Linked DNA regions of Tribolium castaneum. The protein of the gene in region 2 purifies or fractionates together with the protein of the main gene of each other region. This does not show direct contact. Links are inferred from orthologs where the notes say so. Each region holds a gene or a part of one and is shown on either strand. Other genes may lie near its edges.

Region 1 (4,208 bases), on a different chromosome or scaffold from region 2:
TCAATTTCGTTAAAAACGATAGTTTTCATTAAGTTTGCAGAATTGAGGTCAGTGGTGCTTGAACTACTCTCAGTTTCGCACGTCTCGTTAGGGTTTGCAGGTTTAACAAAGTCGCCACTCTTGAAATCTGATCCGTGCAAACTGAAGTTGAAATTTTTGTGATTTAATTCAACTCCAGAACTGTTGACGAAATCATTCGAGGCTGAATCGGGCGTACTTAACAATTCTTTACGCTCGCGGTGGGCCTTTTTTGTTGGTGAATCGGAAACGCTCGAGTTATCCGATGCAACTGACGCAGTTTCGTTATTTTTTTGTTGTGAGTTTTTCGGAGACTCGGTTTCTTCGTCAAGGTTTATTACCTCAACAGGTGTCTCCACTGGCTCAACAAATACAACATCGTCATTTGACGACTTGTTTTCACTAATATCTTTCTTATTATCATCGTCTGAATCACAAACAGACAAAACCGGCCAATTTTCAGGAATTAACACACAGCTATCCTCCTCGTTCTCACTATCGGACAATGTAATGACCTTGTCACAATTACTTGGTTCTTGGTTTCCCGGTACGACACCTGGTGTTTGTTTCGGAGGTTCCTTCTGAGAATTGGCCAGTTTCTCCAATTTCTTCTGCTTCCTTTTGTAGTTTTTCCAGCGCGCCTTATTACGATTTTTCTTAGGAGTTACACAAACTATCGGACTTTGAGGAGTCAAAACAACTAGTTGGTTGATTGATATATTATCAGGCCTGTGGCGCCTGTTGCAACTTTTTGAGTAAAACCCTGGATGGGACTGGTCATTATCCTTGAAAGTTGGTGGTCTTGTGTTTTGTTTTGCATGCACACTTTTTTGGAATTTGCTGCCAGGGGTCCAAGGGCCGAAGTAACGGGCCTGATTTTTCATGTTTTCGGGGGCCAAAGGCGCGACTGGTGCAGACGGAAGGACTAAATCGCTTTCGGTATCAACCGAGTGGTAAACTTGACTATAAAGACGTGATTCGATTTCTTCAAGGTCCAAGTCATTCTGGAACAATACACGTAGATTGCTCAAATTGTAATAAGTTGAACAATACCATGGTTAGTTGTAAATCTACATTTTAAAAGTAACAGTACGAGAAAAAAATTGTAACTTGAACCAAAAATTAGTAACATTTGACAGCGAAAGCGAAACACACGTGGTTTTCGTCACCAACTTTGCGGAGGAAAACGCACTAGTGGGATACGATTTCGGACGCGAAATCCGAAAACAACTCACTTTACCTCCTGTACATTTGTCCGGGTTAAATCCGAATTATTGTCTTTAATTTTGATGATGTAAACACTTTCCGTTCGCTTGGAATTAACGATAAGATAACACGAAAGTTGATTGTGTAACTTGCATTGGCAACACTTATATCTATTGACGGTTGGGAATTTTCGCTTTTTCCCTAAATTGTTTTCTAATAATAATCATTTTAACAAGTTTTTTGCAAATAAAGCCCGTTTTGCGACATGACCGTGACCGAATCCTCGGAACACGACGGTGAGAAAGACGAGAACAGTGCCGAGGCCCCCAGCGAAGACGACAAAAACGTCCTAACCTCTTACATCCAAGAGGTGGAAGAGAGGTTTGTTTGCAAGCAAGAGCTGCGAAGTGCCAACCAAAATGCGGCAAATACGCGCCCCAGCGAGTCCCACTTCAGCAAGCTGGACTCCAGCCTCAAGAAGAACACGGCGTTTGTTAAGAAAATCAAAAACTTCTCTGCCAACCAAGTGGACACATACTTGAAAGACATGACGGGGCTGAACCTGTCCAAGTACATATCGGAGATTGCGGCTGCGATAGTCGATGCTAAATTGAAAATGACCGATGTGGGCGCAGCCGTAAAGATGTGCAGTGTTTTGCACCAGACTTACGCTGATTTCTCGCAACACTTGTTTGAGAACTGGCAGAAAACCCTGGCCTTTAAAGTGGGTGAGAAGATTCCAAATCCGAGTAAACTGAGGGTGGATTTAAGGTTTTATGCCGAGTTGGTGCAGGCTGGGGTGTTTAGCAATAAAAACGCGTTCACTTTGCTGGGGACCGTGATCACCACTTTGGTCAACATGGACAAGGACGAACACTACAATTGCTCAATAATCCTCAGCTTTTGCAAGCACTGCGGCGAAGATTACGCAGGTAATTTTGGTATTTTTCGCCCAATCAACTACTCGTATCCCCAGGCGGACCGCATATTAAACGCCAGTCAAGTCGATAAAAATGTTAATTTTTTCGAAATATAGGTCTGGTCCCTCGCAAGATGCGGGAATTGTCCGAAAAATTCGACATCCCCATCCCGAAGAGCACTTTCCTGCCGCCCGAGAAGCAGCAAAACGTGCGCACCTTGCTGAGGGATTACTACGTTTCGCTCAGTAAGCATCTCGTCAAAGACCACCAAGAGATCCAAAACTTCGAGAAGCAGAACATGAGGATACTCCAAACCAAAGGCGAGTTGAGTCAAGAACGAAAAGACAAGCTCGAGGCGCTTCAAACATCGTACGATAAATTATTAGCTTCGACACAAAGTTTTGCGGAAATTTTAGACGAAGATATGCCAACTTTGAAAAATCAGACTCTCATGAAAAATGATGAGGTGGCTTTAATTAATTGGGTGGGATAAAGAATTAACTGAGAATTTTTAGAGTATGATAGTGACAGGTGCGGGGCCCGATTTGGACGAAGCTGCGTTGGCTAATATCGAGAATGTTTGGTGCGATATTGAAACGCAGAGGTTTTACTGCGAGTTGCCGGAATTGCAAGCTTTTTTGCCGACTTCTTATATAAATAAACAGGCGCCTCCGCCCGAGGAGTCGGTCACTGAGGAGGTGCTGGATTCGGAAATACCAACTGAAGAACTGGAAGATGACGGTGGGTAAATTTGATAATTTATCTCAGAAATTTTTGTTTTGAGACATTGTCGTCTAGAAAAAACTGTCTTGAATGTTACCGCTTTTTTATCTTCAGTAAGAAAGAGTCCTAGAGATTAAAAAAAAAATTTGAATATATCCGTTCCGTTCAGAAAATAATGGTTGCAACCCCTCATATTAGGGACCGTTTAGAAACCGCTTATAATTTTCTATCCAATGAAAAAACGGCATTTTACGAGGCATAGTTTCTGAAAAACTACTAAGGATTTTCCAGGTTTTCTTGGACCAATCGATTTGCGCGAATCATTTATTAATTATTAATAGATTTGTCATAAAAAAAAATTACGCTGATGACGATACTGTTTGACGTTCTCTTATTTCGTCGTAATCGTCATCCGAAAGTTAAATAACTTTGAGATATTGATCACGAGTAGAAACCTGCATCAATTCATTCTAGTTTTTTATAAGGTTTACGTTGATCGATTCGTTGGAATCGGTACTTAAAAAAGTCAAAAATTTAGTTTTCTAAAACTTTTAACGCGTTTTTTTCAAAAACTATAAAAGTCCGACTAGAAAAAATTAAAAACCGTCAGTCTCTACTTTTAATTCTTTATCAAACAGTGAAAATCTGGAATCAGAGTCGATTTTATAAAAAAATATGACTTGAAAACTAACGGTTCCAGTGTTATGTAAGCGAATTATGTTGACCTACTAAGAAACTGTCGGCCTCAAAATACATGTCGGAAACTGCATATTTGAAAATTAAAATTCCTCCACGATTTTTACAATCTTTAATGAATTCTACTTTCATACATTCAAAAACTTCAATTTTTTACGCTTAACCAACAAATTAATGATTCCTATGCGAAGAACTGCCGAGATATCGACCGTTGATATTTTTGAAATTAAATATTTTCTTTATTAAAAAAAAATATATAATTCCTTTGGGCTACGGATCCCCGGATTATTTTTATAAAGTTATAAGTTTCATCAATTCCGGGGTGCTCCGAGTGGTTTCCGAAAAACACGGTGATATTATGTTTTTAATGTCTCAGCGCCCCAGAAATGCTCAAATATTCATCGCAGAGCATTTTCACCGAGTTTCACTAATCGCATTGTGTTGAAGACGTCATTTTACGATTGGAAAATTTATTCATGTAGTAAAATCGTAAATGCTAATGAAATAAATTCTTGAAATTTTCACACTTCGACTAATTGATAAAAGAACCATTCCCAAATTTTTTTTGTAATTAATAAAGTCTTAGCAGTTTTATAAAGTTTTTATAATAAGTGGTATCACAATAACAAATTTTTACTTTATTGG
Region 2 (4,092 bases):
AAACTTTTTTATTTTAGTTACAAAAGAATTTGGCTAATACACACGTTAAAAATTATTGCGCATGCGCACGTTCTTTTAAATTTGACGGATGACATTTCGAAAATGATTTGAGAAAATCCAACAAATAAGACGAAAAATCTGTGGAAACTGTTTTGGGTAATTGAAAAATGCTAAAGGGGGTCATAAGGCACATAAAACACGTAATATCAATGTAGTGTTTTTCAGACTGTGCTGCTGATTTATGCAAAAGTGTTAAGAGCTCCCACACTGACTGCGTATGGTGACTGCACTCATAATTTCTAAATTAATCACACGTAAAAGTGGTAAGTGCTCATTTGTTCAACCAAAAAATGTTGGCGCGGTCCAGAAGTACCTATCAAAAAATGTTTCCTGTAAGTACCGTCGCGAGCAAAAAATCAAAGATCTTCAACATTTCATCTTCATAAACCTTCGTGTTAAAAACATTCGTCTCATTAAGCCTAAACCACATCGTTTTTTTTAATGCCGTTAATTAAGTGCCCGAAATTTTTTGTTCACTATACTGTACTGTAACACTTTCAAACTACCTATATCCTGTCTCTAGTTTTACAGTTGGGAAAAATTGATGTTAATTAAGGGCCAGGGGGCGCTTAGTAGGTACAGCGTGGCCTCAAACCACTGAGGGGTCTAATGATAATCCAAAAATGTTTTAGTCAGAGTTAAACTAATCAATTATAATATTTACTAGTTTAGATCCGAATTAAGGTCGTCCTGGACCCATCTACTTACCAGATGAAAATTATTTTTTATCAAATGTAATGTCCAAAGGAATATATTGCGAATTGGTTGCCTAAGAAAATATATTCAAGACTATAATTAAGAGGGCAAAAAAGGATTACATTTTAGCTATTTTCCGCAATGATTTACAGCCGTGTTAAGAAGCATTTTTGATATTATTTTACAGGGTACATTCTTTCACTCAGACTCTAGGGGAGAAAGTCTTTTAAAATGCGTTCACTGCTTTACTTAATTCAGAAAAAAATTCTGAAAACTAAAAAATCTCATCAAAATCTAATACTCAGAAAAAAATTTCCCATCAACAATAATAATCATTCTTTATTACTTAAAATCTACTTCATGGCCAAAAATATTTTCTTTTTCTTTTAACACTTACTGTTGTACTTTGTGTTTGTGTAAAAAAAAATCAAAAACCAAACAAAATCGACCAGTAACATTTAGCGCAAAATCATAACCATAACATAAATTATTTGTATTGTGCGTATACTTGAAAATAAATTTAAGTGATGATGTTATAATTTGAACCTACCATTTGAGTAGTAATTCGAGTGCTGCGAGAACGGCGGCGTTGCCGACTCTGGAAGCGACCTCTGTCTGATGGAACTGTACCGTTTGGAGCCCTTTTGTTCCGATTGGAGTCTTGGTGGGACGCTGCCTTGTCTCTGTCCCCCGTGTTTACCCCCTTTATGCACCCCATCCTGAACGTTCAATTTTGATAAATCCTTTTCTAGCTCTTGTATGTTGTTATTTTTATTTGTAAAATTTTGCGACTGGATAAAATCGTCTTTTTTCGAGGATTTCGGGACGACTTTTTGATCAGTTTTCATATTCCTAACTTGACGTGTTTTTGTAGTAAAACCCCTATAATCTGAATCCTTGATTTCGCGTTTTGGTTTAACCACACGGCCAGAACCGACGCGTTGCTGCATCCTGTTGGATTCTTGTGGTGGGACTGGCGGAGACTGCGGAGACTCGCATACTGAATTTTTCGTGTTACCGTTTGTTTCAGCTTGGTACTGGTCTGTTTTCTCTTCGTAATCTCTGCTATCCTGCGGGTCTTCTTGATTACTTGAGCGGTTTAGAGGCGGAAAGTCTTCGCCTTGATTGGGCTTTCTGAGGGGTTTCTTTTTACGAATAAGAGGTGGCGGTTTGTTGTAGGCATCTTCGTCTTCCCAGTTTCTTGTATACTTGTTAGGGCCACGTCTTTGGAAATGCATGCGCAACAAATTAAACCGATTTTTAACACAGTGAGGGAACTCACCCGTATCGTCTGCGCCTTCGAGCTCGAGGGGGACCTTCCTCGTTCCTAATATCGTACCCATAGATGGCCACAAGTTCAGCCCTGGACTTGGGGGCTTGCTCAGAGTCGTTAAAACGATCATGACTCCACCTTTCCTTCTTATCCTGCCATACTTTTTTCTTCTGTTCTTTTTCCTTCTCCAATTCTACATTATCAGCTGTTTGCCTAAACAATTAATCAGTCACACTACATGAACTGTGTAATTATTCGCACTCACTCGTCATCAGCTGTCCGGTCATCGTGTTCGTAAAAAGTGCCCCTTTTGGGTATGTACTGGGGGTTTTTCTTGTCCTCATCATCGTCCACCTTCCTGAGAGGCAAACTCTCCTGTCCGTCGCCAGATTCCCGCTCCAGCCCTACACTGCCTTCAGTTTCCGAATCAGTGTGCTCCCTGGAATTCCTCGACCTCGCTTTATCCTCCTCTTCATCACTGTAACTCCCTGCACTGTCATACTCCGACTCGTTAGGGGACTTGTGGCTCTCCTCAGCGTCAATTCGTGTCTTTTCCTGCAAAATCATTCTTAAACTGAGAAGAATTCACGCGAGATCGCCTCGGTTGTGCTCCACTTCGTTCTGAACTTGTGACCTGGTTTGTTAATTTTTTCTCAAATCTTTCTCTTTTCCGGAACGAAGGAGCAACGTAAGGAGCAATTGGGCTCACCTGTGATATGTTTTCCACCGTTTGGGGGGCTGTCGCTGGCACAGCAACGGTTTCTTCCATCTTTTTGTTGTTTTACAAATATCTTTATCTTGGCCGGATTGGCAAGATTCGATGGCCAGTGACAAATTCAAGACTTACGTCTCGTTTCTGGTCCTTTTCATGCTCAATGGAACGACGTGAAAGGAAAAGAAACAGAGAGAAACAAGTTGGTGCCAACTAGCAACTCCTTGTCACAAGGTTTCAGAGGTTAGGTTAAGCACAGAAGCACCAACTTTTGGTGGCAACTGAATAACTAGTTGCCTATACTTTTATAAGTAAAATTTAAATAAAAACGCCCTTGTTGATAAAATTGTCCAAAAGGCCGCAAACTAATATAAGCAGTCGATTGAAACGTCATCTATAGTTTTTTAGTTAAAATTTTTTTTATACAATTTGAGTTATATTAGTTGCATAGATCGCACCAGAGACAACTTGTGAAATTAAAAAAAATAAATTAAAATTCAAAAATTTTGACATAATTTAGCGTTAATCATGGTAAAACTTTATAGAAAATGTTCCAATAACCCACTTAACTGTTGTAGAAAAGCTCATTTCAAACTGTTCTTCACCTTATTTTGATGGTAGCAGTCCCATTCTTCGTGGTAATGGTCGCGCTTTACTTAGCGTTTGCCTTTGGGGCCTTTGGGCCTGCCTCGGAAAGATGTGACGCTCTATGCTGTTATTTAGCAAATAAAACTCTAAATATTTACGACAAACGCGATCGCGAATACATAGAATATGAATTTGAACTTGATGCCCTTAACAAAAGATCTATTAGTTCTCTTAGCCAAACCTTCACTCTTGCAAAGTGTAAGGAATCAGAGAATCCAGCAATTGCCGCTCTTCTCGGAAAGCGATATATTGATGCAAAAGAAGGATTTTTCAAATGTGCTGTTGGTGTTATTGCGCGAAACTGGGCCCTAGCTGTTGATGACTGTGTTGAAAATTTGGGCGTTCTGAGATTAGGGTCGTCATGGTGGTCTTTCGGGGGAGTGACAAAAAGGGTCAATAATGTCATTTTTTCTAATTTTGGTTTGGTTTTGCTACATTTTAATGCAACTGACGATAAGGCATTTGAAATTGCGAAACTTGATCGATTTGTACAGAGCTTTACTTGGGATAGGAGAGTGGATCTCCCGTTGGCACAAAGGCAAAAATTCAACAAATTGCTCAGTTTTGATGTTCGTGTTTATCAACACGAGGACTGTACGGGTTTCATCAAACAGAAGCATGTTTCTTGTTACATTTCAAGCAGGAACGAGTTTTGTGGAAAAAGGGTTAATGCTCCAATGATCGACCAAAGTAACAACTTGGT
Region 3 (4,036 bases), on a different chromosome or scaffold from region 2:
CCAAAATCAATTGTTTCACTCCTAGTACCACCGGTACCATACATTCGGGTTCAGTCGCTTGCATACTTTCATCAATCAGAATCGAATGAAATTTCAAACGAACCAATCGTGGATCACCTGCCCCCACACAAGTACAACAAATAACATCGGCAGCTTCGAGTAATTCTTTCTCAGCCAATTTTTTCAACATTCTGTATCGTTTCTCATCAACTGAACTCAACTCTCCAGTCTCATCTTTCAACTGTTGCAACTTCTGGAGTTCAGTATTGGCTTCCATTTTACGTATCTGATTATGCAATGCAAGAAAACTCACAGGCGAATCAATCGCTTCGCGTGATTTCGCACACAATCTTACAACTTTTAGATTAGTTTTGTGAATTTTTTCGGTAAGTTGGTCAACTGCCGTATTACTGGGAGCACAGACTAGGACTGGACCGCCGTTTTGTTTCACCAATTGATAGACGATGGTGGCGGAAGTTACGGTTTTTCCCGTTCCGGGAGGACCTTGGATGAGGGAGAGTGGACGCTGGAGGGCATGTTTGACGGCGTAGACTTGCGAACGGTTCAAGTCGGGAAGATTAGGTGCCGAAAAATGTTTAGGGAGGTGACAACGGAAAAGGACCTCTTCGACCTCGTGGCCGAGGAGGCGGTGGTAGATGTAGGCGGAAACGGATGTATCGTCAACGGCGAATTTTCGCAAGGCGAGTTGCATCCTGCAATTAACAATAAAGGCGAGCTCAGAAAAAAACGACGTGAAAACTTGTTTTCACATAATTATTTTTTTAATTAAATATTCTTAGAAACCTTATAAAAAAATTACCACATTAATATAGCTTGAAATATCAACGCTTAAAATTAACATCTTACAAAGATTTTTTTAACATTCGGAAATAAGAAGTGAAAATGCGTCACTTCTCTCATGCTTTTTTTTTAATTACTGTGATTTTTAAAATAAAGTTTGATTGTAATATTATACTTATATTTAATGTGAAAGTTTATAACAATGGTACTTTCAACGTTTGACTACTAACAGTAAAACATTAATTAAAAAAATAAATAAAAAATGTGATACATAAAGAGATTAACGTGATTATTTCTGTTTCTATCACAACAACGAAATTTACCTGTCAAAACTGGTACTTTTCCAAATGAAATCCACCACAAAGTTGCTGTTACAATCGGTGGGAGCCCCATTTCCGTTCTTCAACTCAATGCCAATATCCTCTCCGTAATTATCAGGAACTTTGATAACGTGTCCCACCCCCGCCCATGATTTATGCATTTCTCCCACGTATCTAAGTCTCAACTCATCTCCGTGCATTAATTTCATATCCCCGTCAGTTTTAGCAAGAGTAAAATACGCAATTGTTTTCTTATTCAAACCCACATCCCACCTAACTTCAATATTTTCCTGAGTCTGAGACTCCTTCAATCTTTTATCATAATCAGCTTCAAGCTTAACAAGAGGACCAAAAATGTTTTGGTACTGATAACCGTCCTCATATCGCAATAAAACCTACCAAAAAAAATTATAATAAATACGTTAGAACTGTGCAAACAAGACTAACTTGTTGCGGTTCTTCGTCAACTCCTGGCCGTTCCAAATCCTGGAACGTGGCATCAACATTATCTTTCCAAAGTTCTTCAAGTTTGTTGATTTGTTGGGCTGAGATTTGGCGCGCTCGCAGTTGTTCCTGTTCTGATGGTATTTTTACAAGCCATGTGAGAAAACACCGGTCGGTAATGAGTGGTTTCCATTGGTCTTGATCCCAGTTCATGTCCTATTAAAAGCTTGAAAACTGTCCTATTTTAAAAGCAATGACTTACTTTAAGTGAGTTTTGGGCGGCACAAGGTTGGCGGCAAAGTAGCACCACAACAGAGTCAGCTTTGGCAGGAATGAACCCCAAAACAAAAACATTGCGGACGCCACAACTGTAACATTCAAGGATTGTCTCGCCCAAAGGGCCGTCCTTGTGTAAGGTCACTTCCTTGTGTTTGGCTCGGACCTAAACCCCAATCAAAAAACAGTTTCCAAGTTGAAATTCCTCACCAAATGGTTGATTATGTGGCTTCCTGAGGTGTTTCCTCTCCCGTTACAAAACCACTTTTTGCAGCAGTTGCACATGACAACGCAATTCGGCTCATGAATGCCGCAGTACTTGCACGCGTAGTTCGGGAGCTCCTTGCTGTTGAAATACTCCTCATCCTCTTCCTCGAATTGCAGTTCCCCTAAAGCACTCGTCGCATTGGCGATTTTGTTGTTGATGTTGTTGTTGAGCTAAAACAACAACGTCATACGACACTGAACCAGGGGGCGACCTTGCACTAACCTGTACACCGGAAACTTTGGGGCCCGCGTGGTCGTGCTGCGAGGCTTGCGTTTGCGATGGAATTGTGAAATCGGTGAATTCGCATTCGGATCCTTGGGTGTCAGCCCCGATCAAGTCGTTTTCTTCGGTCTCTAAAAACGTGAGAGTTTGCGAACTGGGGCCGTATGCGTCGACACTCATCTTGGAGATTTCGTCGCGAACGAATTGAAGCACGGGTTTATTCACGTTTACTGATGAAACACTTTTAACACTTCAATTGATGACAACTCGACTATGGTTACTTTAAAATTTCTACATTTTTCTCCTGGCAAGCGCCATATTTTCCTGATTAATCATTTGTTTTTTTATCGTCATTTCTCTTTCCGAAGCATAATTGACGGAGCGGGAAACTTAAACACTCGTGCTATCTTTTTCAGTTTTTAGCGCACTGATCTTTTTTATGGCCTCAAAATTAAAAAGTGGTTTAGGAAATAGATTATTGCACAACCTTATTGTCTAATTTAATCCCTAAGCTTTTTTTCGTTGGTTGGCACGGTGTTATCATTGTGGTTACCATCTTATCGGAGTGAGACACGTATCGCAATCTTTTAAGTTAAAGAGAGATAAGCATATGTTTGATTGTAGAAGTGGCTAAGGCTGCGTCACTTTATGATTTGATTTTTCACTTTTTTGTAAATTTTACATTTAAACATTATTTTTATTATAAAATTATAGCATAAAGTTTATTGATTTTTCGGTTTTTATTCAACATTCAACACATGACTGCAAAAAAGAGGCATATCAAAATAAAAAAAACACATTTTTCAAAAACAGCCGATTTTTCAGTGAAATTTTATCGGTAATAAGTCAAAAACATAAAATGATGTTCGTTTTAAAAGAACGTAAATTTACGAATGTTTTTGTCGAAATAAATAAAACTAAAAAACGTAATAAGTTTATTGAGTAGATGACCAATAAAACAACTGAGCATTTGGTTTTGCCTACCTAATTATTAAATTAAAAATGGACGAAAAATGGCGAAATTATTATGATTTATGATTATTGAATTTGATATTGCTATTACAAACTTTATCCATAAAAATAGAACGTGGACTCAATAAAAACATTATCAAGAAATGACTGTATTTTATTAAATTAATAGAAATCACACATGCTCTTTATTACAACTGGCACTCCTTATTTTTTAATTCTTCTCATGTTTAAGTAGCTTGCGGTTACTTAAATGCTCACGTATCATTCTGGTTTCCCACAGATACATAATAAATATTACGATGATATAATTGATAGTTTGAAAACTGTTAACTTTTTATTAGGTTTTTGTACAGCGACAATTCAACACATCTATTAATAATTTATTAAAGTTTTACTGCATTATGACCCAACTCATAAATAGTATTGATTACAAATTCCCAACTACACTACAATGAGTATTGTTACAAAATATTTCTTAAACACGTCTCTACATGGCTTGCATTTCATAGCTGATAAGAGATTCCACTGGACTGAAAGATTTTTTTGGACAATATGTGTCCTAACTTCTTGGGTAAATCCCACAAATCGTCAAATTTTTACCACAATAAAATAGATTCACAGGCCGCATCGATTATGCTAATGTTTAACGCACTAGACCAGTATCAAAACCAAAAAATATCCTTTTCAGTGGACACATCTTACTTAAATTGGCAAACAAACTTTCCTTCAATTG

Evidence for each region.
Region 1: the proteins of btz (region 2) and Upf2 fractionate together in Homo sapiens (co-fractionation; 3 studies listed by BioGRID and IntAct). This does not show direct contact. The link is inferred for Tribolium castaneum from reciprocal best matches to the Homo sapiens genes CASC3 and UPF2.
Region 3: the proteins of btz (region 2) and regulator of nonsense transcripts 1 purify together in Homo sapiens (co-immunoprecipitation; 5 studies listed by BioGRID and IntAct, with this or other methods). This does not show direct contact. The link is inferred for Tribolium castaneum from reciprocal best matches to the Homo sapiens genes CASC3 and UPF1.

The regions. Positions count from the first base shown.
Region 1 is NC_087394.1:28,282,346-28,286,553, forward strand, and holds the start of Upf2 (regulator of nonsense transcripts 2), read left to right. Parts: upstream 1-1,399; 5' UTR 1,400-1,489; coding exon 1,490-2,156; intron 2,157-2,260; coding exon 2,261-2,610; intron 2,611-2,659; coding exon 2,660-2,885; intron 2,886-4,208. Other genes in the region: uncharacterized protein Zcchc7, read right to left, coding at 1-902. UniProt on the Homo sapiens protein: Involved in nonsense-mediated decay (NMD) of mRNAs containing premature stop codons by associating with the nuclear exon junction complex (EJC).
Region 2 is NC_087396.1:15,136,083-15,140,174, reverse strand, and holds the start of btz (protein CASC3), read right to left. Parts: upstream 2,878-4,092; 5' UTR 2,799-2,877; coding exon 2,739-2,798; intron 2,585-2,738; coding exon 2,295-2,584; intron 2,243-2,294; coding exon 2,039-2,242; intron 1,981-2,038; coding exon 1,307-1,980; intron 1-1,306. UniProt on the Homo sapiens protein: Required for pre-mRNA splicing as component of the spliceosome. Core component of the splicing-dependent multiprotein exon junction complex (EJC) deposited at splice junctions on mRNAs.
Region 3 is NC_087397.1:527,884-531,919, reverse strand, and holds the start of regulator of nonsense transcripts 1, read right to left. Parts: upstream 2,845-4,036; 5' UTR 2,512-2,844; coding exon 2,332-2,511; intron 2,280-2,331; coding exon 2,052-2,279; intron 2,008-2,051; coding exon 1,828-2,007; intron 1,782-1,827; coding exon 1,569-1,781; intron 1,517-1,568; coding exon 1,125-1,516; intron 714-1,124; coding exon 1-713. Other genes in the region: sodium channel protein Nach, read left to right, coding at 3,755-3,874, 3,925-4,036. UniProt on the Homo sapiens protein: RNA-dependent helicase required for nonsense-mediated decay (NMD) of aberrant mRNAs containing premature stop codons and modulates the expression level of normal mRNAs.